Stegostoma tigrinum: one gene and its partner. Each later gene encodes a partner of the first gene's protein in a complex. Links are inferred from orthologs where the notes say so. Each region holds a gene or a part of one and is shown on either strand. Other genes may lie near its edges.

Region 1 (7,418 bases):
CCGTGTCAGCCAATATTATCAATGTTTCCCTGTCTTCATGTGTTGTCTCTGCCCCTGTAAATCTGCCATTACCACTCCTCTCTGAAAAAAAGTCATCCTTTGATAGTAACATTCTTCAAACTACAGCTTCATCTTGACCCTCCGTATCCTCTCCAAAGTCCTTGAATATTTTGTCACCTACCAAACCTGTACCAATGGTTCCCAGAACTTCATGTTTTAATTTGTTCAGTCGGGTTTCTGTCTCACCATAGCGCCAAAATAGCTCTTATCAAAGTTATAAATGACATCCAGTGTGACTGTGACAAAAGTAAATATCACTCCTGATTCTCCTGCAGTCTTTCACAAGGTTGACTATGCCATGCTCCTCCAGAGCCTCTCTACTGTGAGCCAAGTAAGTGGGACTGCTCTCAATCAGTTGCATTCTTATCTATCTTATTGTATCACTTGCAATGGTTTCTCCTTCTTCTGTCATATTTTTATCTCTGGACTCCCCCCACCACCCCCCCAGCCAAAAGAATTTATCCTGACCTTTTTTTGTATGCATGTTGAAAGCACAGAGTAGGTTTTCACAAGTATGCCAACAACAATACAACGTTACCTCACCATTACCTTTTTCACCTTCTCCACAGTTGCTAAACTATCAGACTGCTTTAGCCGACATCCAGCACTGGACAAGCAGAATTTTTTTTCCTATTATGTATTGGTTTGACTGAGGCTATTGAACTTTGTCCCTTCTTTAAAGTTTGCTCTCAAGCTACTGACTGTGTCCCTTTCCCAGTCAACAGTTTGAGACTAAACCAGATTGTGGTCAACATAGTTGACTTAATGGCTGGAGTGCAGTACAGAACAATGCCAATAGTGTTAATGCAATCCCTGTTTGGGGTCTGATAGTTCATGAGTCCTGCCTCCTCATTTGCCCTCCCACATTTGAGAAGTGGTGCCTCTCAAGCTACACATAACTAATTGTCTCACTCTAAGGGAGAGATCCAGTTCAGGTCATTTGTGGACACTGGTTAATTAATTATCCTTCCCCACTGGGTGATTTTCCAACGATATATTTGCCCATTGTTTAGCCCACCTTTCCCAACTTCTGTAAAATCATCTGAATGTGTCAGTCTCAGCTCATCTGCTGATGATAGTCTCATTCAGGTCGTTGCTACCTCTAGAGTTGACTACTCCATTGCTACTGTGGCTTCCATTGTGGCTCCCTCCCACATGCTGCCCTTTATAAACTTAAAGGCATCCAAAACTCTGTTGTCTGTATCTTAACTCACACTAAGTCTCCTTCCTTTACCAGTCTTGTCATCACTGACTCACATCAATTCAGAGTAATGCAATGTTTTGATTTAACAGTTTTATCTTTATTACAAATCCCTTTACAACTTTGTAATTGGCCAGACATTTCCTTATCGTAGAACCCAAAAAGTGCAGAAAGAGGTCTTTCAGCTCATCAAGGCTACACTGACCCTCCAAAGAGCATCCCACCCAGATTCAGCCTCCCACCCTCTTCCCATAATTCTCATTTAGCACAGCCAATCCACCAATGTAACCTGCACGTCCCTGGACTGTAGGAGGAAACCCAGCAGAAACCCACAGGGAGAATGTGCAAACTCCACACAGACAGGTACTCAAGACTGAAATCAAACCCAAATCTCTGGTGCTATGAAGGCAGCAGTACTAACCATTGAGCCACTGTGCTGACCCAAATGTTATGTTGCTTATTATCATATTTTGTTTTTTAATGCCCATATGAAGTGTCTTGGCACATTATATCATGTTAAAGGCACTATATAAACATCAGCTGCGGGAATACTGGCACAGGTATAGGCAATTCAGAACATCCAATATGCCCACGAATAGATTAGATCTTGGCCATCCTTCTACCTCGTTGCCACTTTCCTACTCTGTCTTCATATCTCTTAATGTCATTAGTTTCAGAAACTGATCAACTTCTGTTTTGATCATGCATACTTCCATAACACTCATTCAGAGATTCACCATCCTCTGAATGAAGAAATTGCTGCTGATCTCAATCTTAAATGGCTTACCCTTCATCCGGAGTTTATGTCCCCAAGTTCTTGAGCCACCAGCCAGTGAAGGCATCCATTTACATCCACCCTGTAGAAATTTCATAAATTTTAATAAAATCACCTCTCATTCTTCAAAACATTTGTTGTTGTTGTTTGATTTGTGGAGGCTATGGGGGTGAACTGAATCTTGCCCTTATATAATATTTGTATTTGCACTGTTTCAATAAGAAACAGAAGAGGAACAAAGTCTGAATTTCTCCTCTTTGACTCAGGACTGCTATTGTGACGTTCATATTGACTCCTCCCACATGCTGCCCTCTATAAACCTGAAGACATAGGTTCAGAAATGGAAATTTGAAACAAATCTAAATCCAGCTAAAGTCTAGGAAATTTCAATTTTCAATCTAAAGCATGATCACGTGGGTGCCATTTCCATTCATGTCAGCTATCCAATTTGGTAAGTAGATTTATATCCAAATGCCAATAACCCTCTAGTGAGTACACAAATCTAAGCAACAGCAAAGGACAACTGGTTCCTAATAAGATATAAATGTTGAGACAGATGTATAGATTAATGAGAATGGACAAAACGAGGAACATGAGGGTTTCAGTGAAGATTGTGAGGGCATTGATGAAAGTAGCTGAGAAACGAGAGAAATGGTATTGATGAAAGAGGGAGGAAATGTGGTGAGACAAGTGAAGAAGATGGGCTGGCCAAGAACAAAGAGAAAAGGGAGTCCTAAGCCTGTTGAGAAGATGCAATGAGAGACTTAAACACAGTGAATTGGAATGGGAATGGGTGACTGACAGAGAAAAAAACAGACATGAGTGCTCAAGTACCAAAGTAGGAAGAGCCTAGAAGAGGAAGAAGTATTGTTTTGTAGATTGGTTCTCGGCTGGTTTTAAGTAGCACAGTTGATATTACCAGCTACAGTTTGCAATCAAGAAAATTTAAAACACAAACGCAGTTCCTGAAAGTGATATCAGCCAAGAAACTGAGTGGAACGGGTGACCCAGTTGAAGGGTTTTCATATTTATGATAAAATAGAACTTTTTCTAACATGTGGCTGTAATTTAGAGTAATTGCTTTTACAAAGGGGAGGGAGAAGAAATCCAATGCTAATGTTGCTTTTCTGTTTGCCCATTGTGTTTATCTCTTTTTTCCTAGGTAGTCTCTCAGGATTGAGGGTCACTTTCATGCTTGAATAGTTGGGAAGATGAGTTGCATGCAGGTTTGTGCACTACATCAGGCAGCTTGACCTTTGGTCTGTGCACATTCTCGATGAAGATTCTTGAAGTATCTAACAAAACTTAATACTACTTATCCCAAATTTACTTTGTTTCAATGTTTGAACATTTCAATTCTACATTTCTGGATTTTTTTCTTATTCCTTAACAGATATATTACAGTGTTTTTTTCAGATTTTACAATACTTTTCCACTTTGATTGATCACATGCAGGTACACCATGAGTTGGGAATAATGTTTGACTCTGGGATGCTTTGAGGGCATATGCTGTCCATCTGGGATTATCCAACTCCAAGCAAGCACAAAATAGAGTGGTTGCTTTGGGTGTCTGGTGTCAGGCAAGTGCAGCATATGTCCCATCAAGTGGAGCAGCTTTTGAATTATTTTCAGCTTAAGGCTGGACAAACTGGCTTGGGAGAGGATGCTGCTGTTGGACCTTCTTTCTTACCACCAGTTTTGGAGGACCACATAAAAGGTGTTACTTCTCCAGTCATTGGAGGTGCCTGATGTAAGTTGTTCAAGTCTCCAAACCATTTCGGAGGAGCACAGAGCTGCGCAGCAAACCGTGACCTTTATCTCGAAGGGTCACTGGAGCCGAAACGTTAACTCTGCTTACTCTCCACAGGTACTGCCAGATCTGCTGAGTTTTCCAGCAATTTCTATCTCTGCACCTTTATATTGGATTTCAGATACTGATGTTCAAAACGCTTTTCTTCAGTCAGCTTATGTCTGAGCTGGTAGTGGAACCAGTGATGAACTCAGCAATCTATGCTGGCTTTCATGGAGAAAGCTCCTAATAATCATTCATCCGCATTTTCCAGGATCTTAATTGATTAGTGGGATGGTACTGTGAGGCCCAGTTGAAAGAGAATCTGTTTCGGTGAAATTCGTACTGAGAGGTGTAATTACTGTCCAAACTAAAGAAACCCTCCCACCCCGCAAAGCAATGAGCCTGAAACAGCTGCGATTGGAAAGTTGTGGGTAACTGGGGTGGGCGGAGCAACGTGCGTGCTGGCGTCCCAGGAACGCCGTGACGCACGTCTGTCGTTCCAAACACGACGTGAGGTTTGAGAAGCGGCGGCCTTGGTGGGGGTTGGTGTATGACGTGCTTCGCGGAGCGGGGCCGTGGTCTCCTGGGGAGCGCGGTGATATTATGGGATGTTAGACCTGGAGGAATGGCGCTGGGCGCGTGATTTTGAACAAACACGATCGGTCTCCCGGTGACGAGCGCTGTGTGTCTGGTAACCGGGGCCGCCAGCGCCGCCTCAGGCCCCAGGCGGCCGCGATCCTTCTCCATGCCGCCCGCTTCCAGCTCCGAGCGGCCCGGAACCCGCAGCCGGTGAGTATCCGTCAGCGGCACGGCTATGTTTATGTCAGGGAACGCTGCACCGCTCTGCCTTCTTGGCCCCGACGAAACTGGGGCTGGGCGGCTTCGGAGCACCGGCTGATGGCGGCCGGGCTGGATTGAGAGTGCAGCCCCCTATCTGGACTGAGGCCGGGAGGGTGTGGAGCCCCCGATCTGACTGGGGCCGGGGGCTTCGGTCGGTTTGACGACGACTTTCTGCCTTGTATGAGGTGCCTTCTGTTGAAGTTGTCCGCGGTGTTGTCAGTGGCCTCACTGACTGTTTCCCTCTTTCTAAAAGACTCTCCTCCAGTAATGGCTCTTTGATCGTCCTCTCGCCTTCATCCCAATCCCCCCCCTTATCCCCTTTTCTGTTTCTTTCCCATGATGTCGCCTTAATTTGTTTGAAACTACTTCCACCACCACCGCCCCCCCAGCCACCACTGCCGTCCAGCCGTGCGTTTCGTTTTCTTTTTGCTGTGTTAAACTGTGTTGTTTTTAATATTGTGTAACTTTAATGCATTTCTGAAACTGAAAGGTTCACGTCGCTCTTATAACTCTGGGTTTGTAAAATACATTTGCAATAGTGACTCCTTCGAAGATGACCTACGATCAGATTTTTTTTAAAAAAAGAAACCAAAATAGCTACTGGATCCTGCCTGTATTTGGTCTGAAGCGGTATCTGTAATTTCTGTTTCGCAGCGGTGACTGTTCATCGCGGAGTTTAATCTTGGCTCCTGACTGATCTCCCCAGTTATAAATTTCCCCGGACCCTGGGATCATGATCCCAAAGGGCTTTGTACTGTCAGTGTTCTCAAGAACGGGCAGTATCACAAAGCCCAGGGTCGAATTTTTTTGTTGTTGTGCTGACCTTATACAGGAACCATTTCTTTAAGCCCCGCCAGCGATTTGAACGGGAGCAAGAAGTGCATTTAGATGTTGAAGAACATATCTGAGATTTTGTTTCCAGCAGGTAGATTGCTGATTTGTAAGTTGTTTGTTGTTTGAGGAGGAATGCGCCAGGGCATCAGGCTGAACGTTTGTGGGGTTTGTTCGGCAACTGTGGTATTTCCTGTTAGTTTTTTTTCCGCGGTTTTTTCGTATGATTTTTGTATATCTCCCAGTCTCGCTCAGGCCCTGCCTTTCTGTGGAAATGTGATGACGAGGTGAAAATGGCGGACCTTTCGAAATGCAATCCCTGCCTAATTATACACCCGAACCTAGTCTGAAAAGCCCGAACCGGCTTTGGGCTCTGCCCAGCCTCTCAAACACAAAATGACACATTCTCTCTCTTCACACCCAGATGTCACGCTTGTAACACTTCAGGTTTCTCTGCCAAGCATAGATAGCTCGGTTGCAAAGGCCTGCAGTTCTCCTTTTGAGATCGTTTGGAGAGACGTGGCTCTCTGAAAGATACAGTAAGATATACCCAGATTCCGCCTAACAAAAGATTACGTCTAGAAGTTGTCTAGCCATTTAGTTTACCTGGTCAAAGTACAATGTAAAATCATTCACATGACGTATGTAGGATTTCTAACGGCAAGCATACTTTGCGATATTTCTATTGAGGTTTTTCATCAATAAAGATAATTATCAAATATAAGTCATGCATAAATGTATGTCGCAAAAATCTTCATTCTTTGATCTTTTTGCTCTACTCTGCTGCCGGTTATGTTATTTACAGCGCCCCCTCCCCAATATTAAAAATTAACCAGTTCCGCCCCCTTGTCCTCCCAGAACACGGCTAAGTTGTCATCGTCAGATTCATAACTGTACAAACGCGAACAAGATTCCAGTCAACCTGTTTAGGAATGTTGTTATACACCTCTGGAACAGGTGTGACTTGAACCTGGGCGTCATGGATACTGCATCCTTGACTATCAGCTCTCTGTTCCAGGTTTGGAGGCTGTGATCCTGTTTCTCACTTTGTGTTCACTGTGGGAACGATTGCTCAGCTCCAATTTTTCACCTTTGTAATGTCGCAAAACATCTGACTTGAAGGATGGAGTAGGAAAACTTACGGGAGTTGGAATAAAGTGCTGCTGAGGAGATGTGTTTTAATGGTGAAAAGAAATATAGCAAAAAGCAAGGTAGATAGAATATTGCAAGATAATACAGACACGATGGGCTAAATAGCCTACGTTGTATCATTCTTTTGATCGCTAATGGTGGAATGTAATATAGAAGGGATCATGATGTGGGTAGAAGTTGAAATATCAGCAAGTGCAGACAAGGAAAGAGGGCTGGGGAAGGATGGGAAGCTGGAATTACAAGGAGGACTGAAAAGAAGTTGTGCTTCTGTCTAGTCACCCATTGAGATGCAATTGTTTGTGTGGTAACTTGTTGGCATGTGACTGCTATTTTATCCACAGCAAGCCTTCGCGAACATATGTATGATAAATGATGATTAATTTATCTGTTGGGCTCAAATGGGAGACCACTGACCACAGTGGGAGACGTTGAATTGTTTGGACTGATCAGGGTGTGGTGCGTCAGTTTTTCTAGTGTAGATTTTGCTTTGCTAGAGACTAGTTATGCAGTAAAAAGTTTTTAAACTGAAGTAGAAACTTTTAATAGAAAGTCCTGTGTGAGGCTTGCATACATTCCAATCTCTTGAAAGTAAACAATACATCTTTTTAAAGTTAATGTAAACACCTGCTTGGTCAACTGAGCTGTGTAATGCCTCTGATGTTCGGTGAAAACACTGACAGACCATCGAATGCTAAGGAATATTGCTCAATTTATACAGGGGAGAGGGGGAGGATAGACACTTTACCATTGATTTCAAAGTGTGTACT
Region 2 (7,787 bases), on another chromosome or scaffold:
GGACAGTCATTTATGAGAAGGAAAGGGAGCATAAGATAGCTAATGGGAACTGCAGATGATGGAGAATCCAAGATAACAAAGTGTGAAGCTGGATGAACACAGCAGGCCCAACAGCATCTCAGGAGCACAAAAGCTGGCATTTCGGGCCTAGACCCTTCATCAGAAAAAGGGGGATGGGGAGAGGGTTCTGAAATAAATAGGAAGAGGGGGGGAGGTGGACCAAAGATGGATAGAGGAGAAGATAGGTGGAGAGGAGAGGAGAGAGATCAGTCCGGGGAGGACGGACAGGTCAAAGAGGCGGGATGAGGTTGGTAGGTGGGAAATGGAGAATGGAGGTGTGGCTTGAGGTGGGAGGAGAGGATAGGTGAGAGGAAGCACAGGTTAGGGAGGCAGGGACGAGCTGGGCTGGTTTTGTGATGCAGCGGGGGGAGGGGACGAATTGGGCTGGTTTTGGGATGCAGTGGGGAGGGGGAGATTTTGAAGCTTGTGAAGTCCACATTGATACCATTGGGCTGCAGGGTTCCAAAGCACTTCACCAACCCCTTCCACCCCGACCTCAAGTTCACCTGGGCCATCTCCAACACATCCCTCACCTTCCTGGACCTCTCAGTCTCCATCTCAGGTAACCAGCTAGAAACTAATGTTCACTTCAATCCCACTGACTCCCACAGCTACCTAGAATACACCTCCTCCCACCCACCCACCCTCCTGCAAAAATTCCATCCCCTATTCCCAATTCCTCCGCCTCCGCCGCATCTGCTCCCAGGATGAGGCATTCCACTCCCAAACATCCCAGATGTCCGCGTTCTTCAAGGACCGTAACTTCCCACCGGCAGTGGTCGAGAACGCCCTTCATCGTGTCTCCTGCATTTCCCGCAACACATCCCTCACACCACGCCCCCGCCACAACTGGCCCCAAAGGATCCCCCTCGTTCTCACATACCACCCCACCAACCTCCGGATACAACGTATCATCGTCCAACACTTCCACCGTTTACAATCCGACCCCACCACCCAAGACATTTTTCCATCCCCACCCTTGTCTGCCTTCCGGAGAGACCACTCTCTCCGTGACTCCCTTGTTCGCTCCACACTCCCCTCCAACCCCACCACACACGGCACCTTCCCCTGCAACCGCAGGAAGTGCTACACTTCCCCCACACCTCCTCCCTCACCCCCATCCCAGGCCCCAAGATGACTTTCCATATTAAGCAGATGTTCACCTGCACATCTGTCAATGTAGTATATTGTATCCACTGTACCCGGTGTGGCTTTCTCTACATTGGGGAAACCAAGCGGAGGCTTGGGGATTGATTTGCAGAACACCTCCGCTCAGTTCGCAATAAACAACTGCACCTCCCAGTCGCGAACCATTTTACCTCCCCCTCCCATTCCTTAGACGACATGTCCATCCTGGGCCTCCTGCAGTACCACAATGATGCCACCCGAAGGTTGCAGTAACAGCAACTCATATTCCGCTTGGGAACCCTGCAGCCCAATGGTATCAATGTGGGTTTCACAAGCTTCAAAATCTCCCCTCCCCCCACTGCATCCCAAAACCGTCCCCGCCTCCTTAACCCGTTCTTCCTCTCACCCATCCCTTCCTCCCACCCCAAGCTGCACCTCCATTTCCTACCTACTAACCTCATCCCACCTCCTTGACCTGTCCGTCTTCCCTGGACTGACCTATCCCCTCCCTACCTCCCCACCTATAATCTCCTCTTCACCTATCTTCTTTTCTCTCCATCTTCGGTCCGCCTCCCCCTCTCTCCCTATTTATTCCGGAACCCTCACCCCATCCCCCTCTCTGATGAAGGGTCTATGCCCGAAACGTCAGCTTTTGTGCTCCTGAGATGCTGCTGGGCCTGCTGTGTTCATCCAGCTCCACACTTTGTTATCTCTTATAAGATAGCTATTTACCTGTTTTCACTGAAGCCAAAGCAGAAAACAAACAGAGGGCCGGGCCAAATGGTCTATGTTCTGGGTTATAGTTTAAGGCAGTTACCAGGGGCACGTTTCAATTCTGTTGTTCAATGTGCTTCTTTTTTCCCCATTAATTGCTCAAACAATTCTATGCCAGGATTTTGTTGCTGTACCAATGCTCATAATTAGTTATCATTAGTTTTCTGAAAAATATTCTTCCCTTTTGGCCAACAGTGCTCCATCATTTTCTGTCCTAAGTGTCGTCCTCTCTCTTTTCTCTGTCCTACTTGTCGTGACACATTATAAATTCAAATTCCATGGCAGACTGTGGAATTTGAATTCAATAAATATCTGGAATTAATAATCTAATGATGACCGTGAATCCGTTGTCAGTTGTTGGAAATACCCATCTGATTCACTAATGTCCTTCAGTGAAGGAAACTGCCATCCTTACCTGGTCTGACCTACATGTGACTCCAGACGCACAGCAATGTGGTTGACTCTGAACTGCCCTCTGGGCAATTAGGGATGGGCAATAAATGCTGCCTGGCCAGTGATGCCCTCATCTCGTGAATGAGTAAAGGAAAAAAAACTCAGTCGTAATCATTACAAATACCTTAGTTATATCACAGCTATGTCCGTGCCATTGTCCAAGTGTTACTGGGCACAACTTGTACATCATCAGGTCCATTTCTGGATGATCTCCCTGAGCAGTTCCAAATCCCTGTGACTTTTCTTAGAATCCTGTGACTGTTGCCACTTAGCTGGTGGATCTTCAATAGCAGAATCCTGCAGATGTTGGAGATTGGAAATTAAAACAAAATAATGGAGCGTTTCCAAGATAACGAAGTGTGGAGCTGGATGAACACAGCAGGCCAAGCAGCATCTTAGGATCTCGGATTCTCCGGCATCTGCAGTTCCCATTATCAATGGAGAATTTCCAAATTGCTTTGAGAAGTGAGAGTTAACGCTTTTAGTCCAAGGGCACGCTTTCTGATTTTATGCCTGTGGTTCTTGAAGCTGATTCTGTGCCACCCTGACCCCAAAAATTCCTGGCTCAGCTTTAATCTCCACCTCATCTTTACTGCTTGGAGGTGTACAATGTCCCCATACGGGTGGCAGATGCCCCTGCCCCAAGGCTAAGCCCCTCCGAGGGTGGGAGCAGTGTGGAATCTGTCTTGTGGGTAGGGTTACCCCTGTGGTGGTGGGGGGGGGGGGTTCAGGCTGTTCTTGTGTTCACTTGGCCCTTCCCCATCCGACAGCAGTGACCCTGACCCAAACCCGTCCCTCCTGTTGTCCACCCCCTTCTCCGCCACGACCCTGAGCCCTACGCCCATCTCCGGCCACCCTCTCCTAGCCCTTACCTTTCCCACCTTCTGCTCCCCACTCCCGTAGCCCTATCCCGTTCCCCCACCCCTCCCCCCAACTACGCCTCACCCCCTGCCCCCACTCCACTCCCGCACTCCACACTACACTGACCCACCCCCACTCGCCCTCCCCCTACTCCACTCCATCCCCACTCCACGCCACAAGTCCACTCCGCCCCCTCACCTGCACTTGCCCCCTACTCCGCACCACCCTTACTCCGCACCCCCTCCCCTCCCAAGTACTCCACTCCCCCCAACTCTGCACACACCCTCCACCTCTCCGCATCCCCACCTCTTACTCTGTTCCCCACCACTTCACACTACTCCGACCCACCCGCTACTCTGCCCCTCCACTCCCCGACCCATATCCCGCCCCCCTACTACCCCTCCCTCCCACCAAACTCTTCTGCAACTCCTCCACTATCCCCTTCCCCCATACTCCGCCCCTCTCCCCCACTCTGTCCCGCTACACCTCCCCCGCCACTCCGCACCCCTCCACTCCTACCCCTCCCCCAACTCCATTCCTCACTCTGCCCCCATCCCCATCCCACCCACTTTGCACCCACCATCCCCCACTCTGCCTCCCCAACCCCCCAACTCTACTCCCTCTCCTGCCTTCGCTCTGCACCCCCTCCCCACTCTGCCCCTCACCCGCCTTCTCCACCCCCTTCCCCCTCTATTCTGCCCCCCCACTCCACTCCCCCATCCCCTCTATTCTGTACCCCCACTCCACCCCTGTCCCCTCTATTCTACCCCCCCACTCCACCCCCGTCCCCTCTATTCTGTCCTCCCCCACTCCACCCCCGTCCCCTCTATTCTGCCCCCCCACTCCACCCCCCCATCCCCTCTATTCTGTCCCCCTACTCGACCCCCCATCCCCTCTATTCTGCCCCCCCACTCCACCCCCCATCCCCTCTATTCTGCCCCCACACTCCACCCCCATCCCCTCTATTCTGCCCCCCCACTCCACCCCCCATCCCCTCTATTCTGTCCCCACACTCCACCCCCCCATCCCCTCTATTCTGCCCCCCCACTCCACCCCCCATCCCCTCTATTCTGTCCCCACACTCCACCCCCCCATCCCCTCTATTCTGCCCCCACACTCCACCCCCCCATCCCCTCTATTCTGCCCCCCCCACCCTACTCTGCCCCCCCCACCCTACTCTGCCCCCCCCACCCTACTCTGCCCCCCCCACCCTACTCTGCCCCCCCACCCTACTCTCCCCCCCCCACCCTACTCTCCCCCCCCCCACCCTACTCTCCCCCCCCCACCCTACTCTCCCCCCCCACCCTACTCTCCCCCACCCCCAATCCCCCCATTCCTCCCCTCCTCCGTCCCCCATTCCACTCCTCCCCCACCTCCACCCCTCCTCCTCCTCCCTCCCCCACCCCTCTCCAATCCGCCCGCCGGGTGTTATTTGGTGCTGATTATTTGTCCGTTCTCTCTCTCCCCCCCCCCCCCCCCCCGAATTAGACCATGAGGCCGCTGTCAGGAAGATAACTTTCTCCGCTGTTCGAGGCGGGACTTCGATGTGTTCATCTGTTTGGTTCAGCCCACCCACCGGAGCAAGGAAGGCCGTGAGTGCGTGAGACAGGAGTGGGAGAGTGTGTGCTGTGAGTGAGACAGGAGTGGGAGAGTGTGAGCTGTGAGTGAGTGTGAGCTGTGAGTGAGACAGGAGTGGGAGGCTGTGAGTGAGTGAGTGTGAGCTGTGAGTGAGACAGGAGTGGGAGAGTGTGAGCTGTGAGTGAGACAGGAGTGGGAGAGTGTGAGCTCTGAGTGAGTGTGAGCTCTGAGTGAGACAGGAGTGGGAGGCTGTGAGTGAGTGAGTGTGAGCTGTGAGTGAGACAGGAGTCTGAACTGTGAGTGTGAGACAGGAGTGAGAGAGTGTGTGCAGTGAGTGAGAGAGGAATGAGTTAGTGTGAGCTGTGAGTGTGAGACAGGAGTGTGTGAGTGAGAGGAGTGAGTGAGTGTGAGTTGTGAGTGTGAGACAGAAGTCAGTGAGAGAGAGGAGTATGTGAGTGAGAGGAGTGAGTGTGAGCTGTGAGAGGGGAGTGAGCTGTGAGAGAGGACTGAGTGAGACAGGAGTGAGTGAGTGAGTGTGAGCTGTGAATGAGAGGAGTGAGTGGAAGAGGAGTGTGGGGGGTGAGTGAGTGTGAGCTGTGACTGCAGAGAGTGAGGTGTGAGTGTGGTGTTTGCTCAGAGTTTGAGGGAGAGAGCAGGCCCTCTGACAGACTGTGACAACTGGCTGCAGCTGCTTGCTTCTGGGACACTTTGTTGGAGCGGGCACCAAGGATGGTGAGTGGCGAAAGCACTTTAATTTTACGTTTTTTCCTCTTTAATTTTTATTAGAACAAAGCTGTGGCCACTCCGTCTCTGCAGGGCGCTGCCCTGGAATAAATAAAGAAGATTATCAATCCCTGTTTCATTTACCTGATTCCTGGGATGGCAGGACCCTTCGTCTACGGTGTGACATTGGATTCTGTTAGGAATATATTCACTGTGGTTTAGAGAAATGACAGGGGATCTTATAGAAACCTGTAAAATTCTGACAAGACTAGACAGGGTGAATTCAGGAAGGATGTTCCCCACAAGCAGGGAGCCCAGACTCAGAGATCACAGTCTAAGGATCTGGGGTTAGAATAGTTACGATCAAGGTGAGGAGAAATTTCTTCATCCAGAGAGTGGTGAGCCTGTGGAATTCTCTGCCTCAGAAGGTGGTTCGGGCCAAAATGTTGAATGTTTTTAAAAAGGAGTTAGATATAGAGCTTGTGGTGAAAGGGAGCAAAGGGACTGAGTTGGAGGGCCAGCCATTATCATATTGAACAGCAGAGTGGATTCAGAGGACTGAATGGCCTGCGCCTGATCCTATTTTCTGTACTTCTGTCTTTTGCTACATTGCCTCCTGGTACATTATTTGAGCTGCATCTTGCTGCTACTCTCCACGTTCAATGCACATTCAGTCGTTTGAGGCATCAGTACTGCATTTGCAAAGCCTCACTCTCATGCTACTTTTCATGGTTCAGTCACCAAACCTGCAGTTCAACTTTTTTTTAAAATTAGGAAATCCTTTTCACTGCATAAACAAAATGCTTCAGATGTTAGAACTGTGAAATGGAAACAAAATGAGGAAATGCTCTAGCGGCATCTGTGCAGAGAGAGAAGCTTGTCGACATTTTTCATCAGAATTTTTTTTGCAGTTTGGCTGATAGTAGAGCAAGATTGTCTTGACATTAGTAACAACAATAATTGTGGCAATGATATTTCAAACTTTCCCTTTGGTATTTCAGGACAAGAGCAATAGCTGAATGAAGTCGGCAAAATTAGGCCAGGCACTTTTACTTTTTTCCTACAACAAAGTTGCTGAAACCCTAACCCTCCTGTCCTCTTTCTACCTGTAGAGGATATTAGATTAGATTAGATTAGATTCCCTACATTGTGGAAACAGGCCCTTCGGCCCAACAAGTCCACATCGCCCCTTGGAGCATCCCACCCAGACCCATCCCCCTATAACCCACACACCCCTGAACACTACGGGCAATTTAGCATGGTAGGGGAAGAATGGTAGACGGTGATCCAAAGGGTAGACTTAGGCACGAGAGAGTCTTCTGAAAGGTTGAGAAAGGTGCATTGAGGTGAAAGACTTCAGTAGCGGGTTCCTGAATACAGTGCATAGATGGCTGAAGGCCCTGTCTTTGACTGTGGTACATGCAGTGGAGGCTAGAATTAAAATCAGAGTCTGTGCTGATAGGAACTTTCCCAAAACAAGTGGACGATGTTGCTAGTTTATTTAACAATTGAGGAAAATGATTTTAAATGCAATGCATGGGGATGAGGAGAAAATGTAGCATGTAAAGGCAGGAGTGATTGGTATTGGAAACTAGTCCCATTACTCCATGGATCACAGCATAACATACAAGCCAGTTTTCCTGTTACTAAGATGACTGAATATTTCAGGTCTATTAAGTTTTCAAACAGAAGATCTATCAACAAGGCTTTTTAATAAATAGTTATTGATTTGTCATTAAAAAGTATTTAATAAAGATGCAATAATTTGCTGACATAATCAGTGATAAATAAATACATATGTTTGTCCCTCTATATACCTCAGAACTCTCACTGACCCTCTCTCGCACGCATGCACTCCATCTCTCCAACAACACCAGCCCCCCAACCCTGCCTCTGTTCAGGGGGAAAAGAGAAAACAAAACACAGAGATTAACTTTCTAAAACAAAAGGCTAGATGTTTATTATTGGAGGTGTAAGGATAAAGCTCACAATGACCCAGAGGGGTCATGTCTTTTTGTGGCTAGTTGATGTTCATGTATCCTGGTGGCTAGCTTTCTGCCTGTTTGTCCAATTTAGTGTTTGTCACAGTTCTTGCAAGGTATTTTGTAGATGACGTTCACTACATTGGACAAACAGGCAGAAAGCTAGCCACCAGGATACATGAACATCAACTAGCCACAAAAAGACATGACCCACTATCACTAGTATCC

What was found.
Region 2: lin54 (region 1) and transcription factor Dp-2-like share a complex: the UniProt entries of both Homo sapiens proteins name them as parts of the DREAM complex. The link is inferred for Stegostoma tigrinum from reciprocal best matches to the Homo sapiens genes LIN54 and TFDP2.

The regions. Positions count from the first base shown.
Region 1 is NC_081354.1:77,504,595-77,512,012, forward strand, and holds the start of lin54 (protein lin-54 homolog), read left to right. Parts: upstream 1-4,402; 5' UTR 4,403-4,617; intron 4,618-4,824; exon of another isoform or gene 4,825-4,846; intron 4,847-7,418. UniProt on the Homo sapiens protein: Component of the DREAM complex, a multiprotein complex that can both act as a transcription activator or repressor depending on the context. In G0 phase, the complex binds to more than 800 promoters and is required for repression of E2F target genes.
Region 2 is NC_081367.1:73,714,262-73,722,048, forward strand, and holds the start of transcription factor Dp-2-like, read left to right. Parts: upstream 1-4,784; 5' UTR 4,785-5,586; intron 5,587-7,787. UniProt on the Homo sapiens protein: Can stimulate E2F-dependent transcription.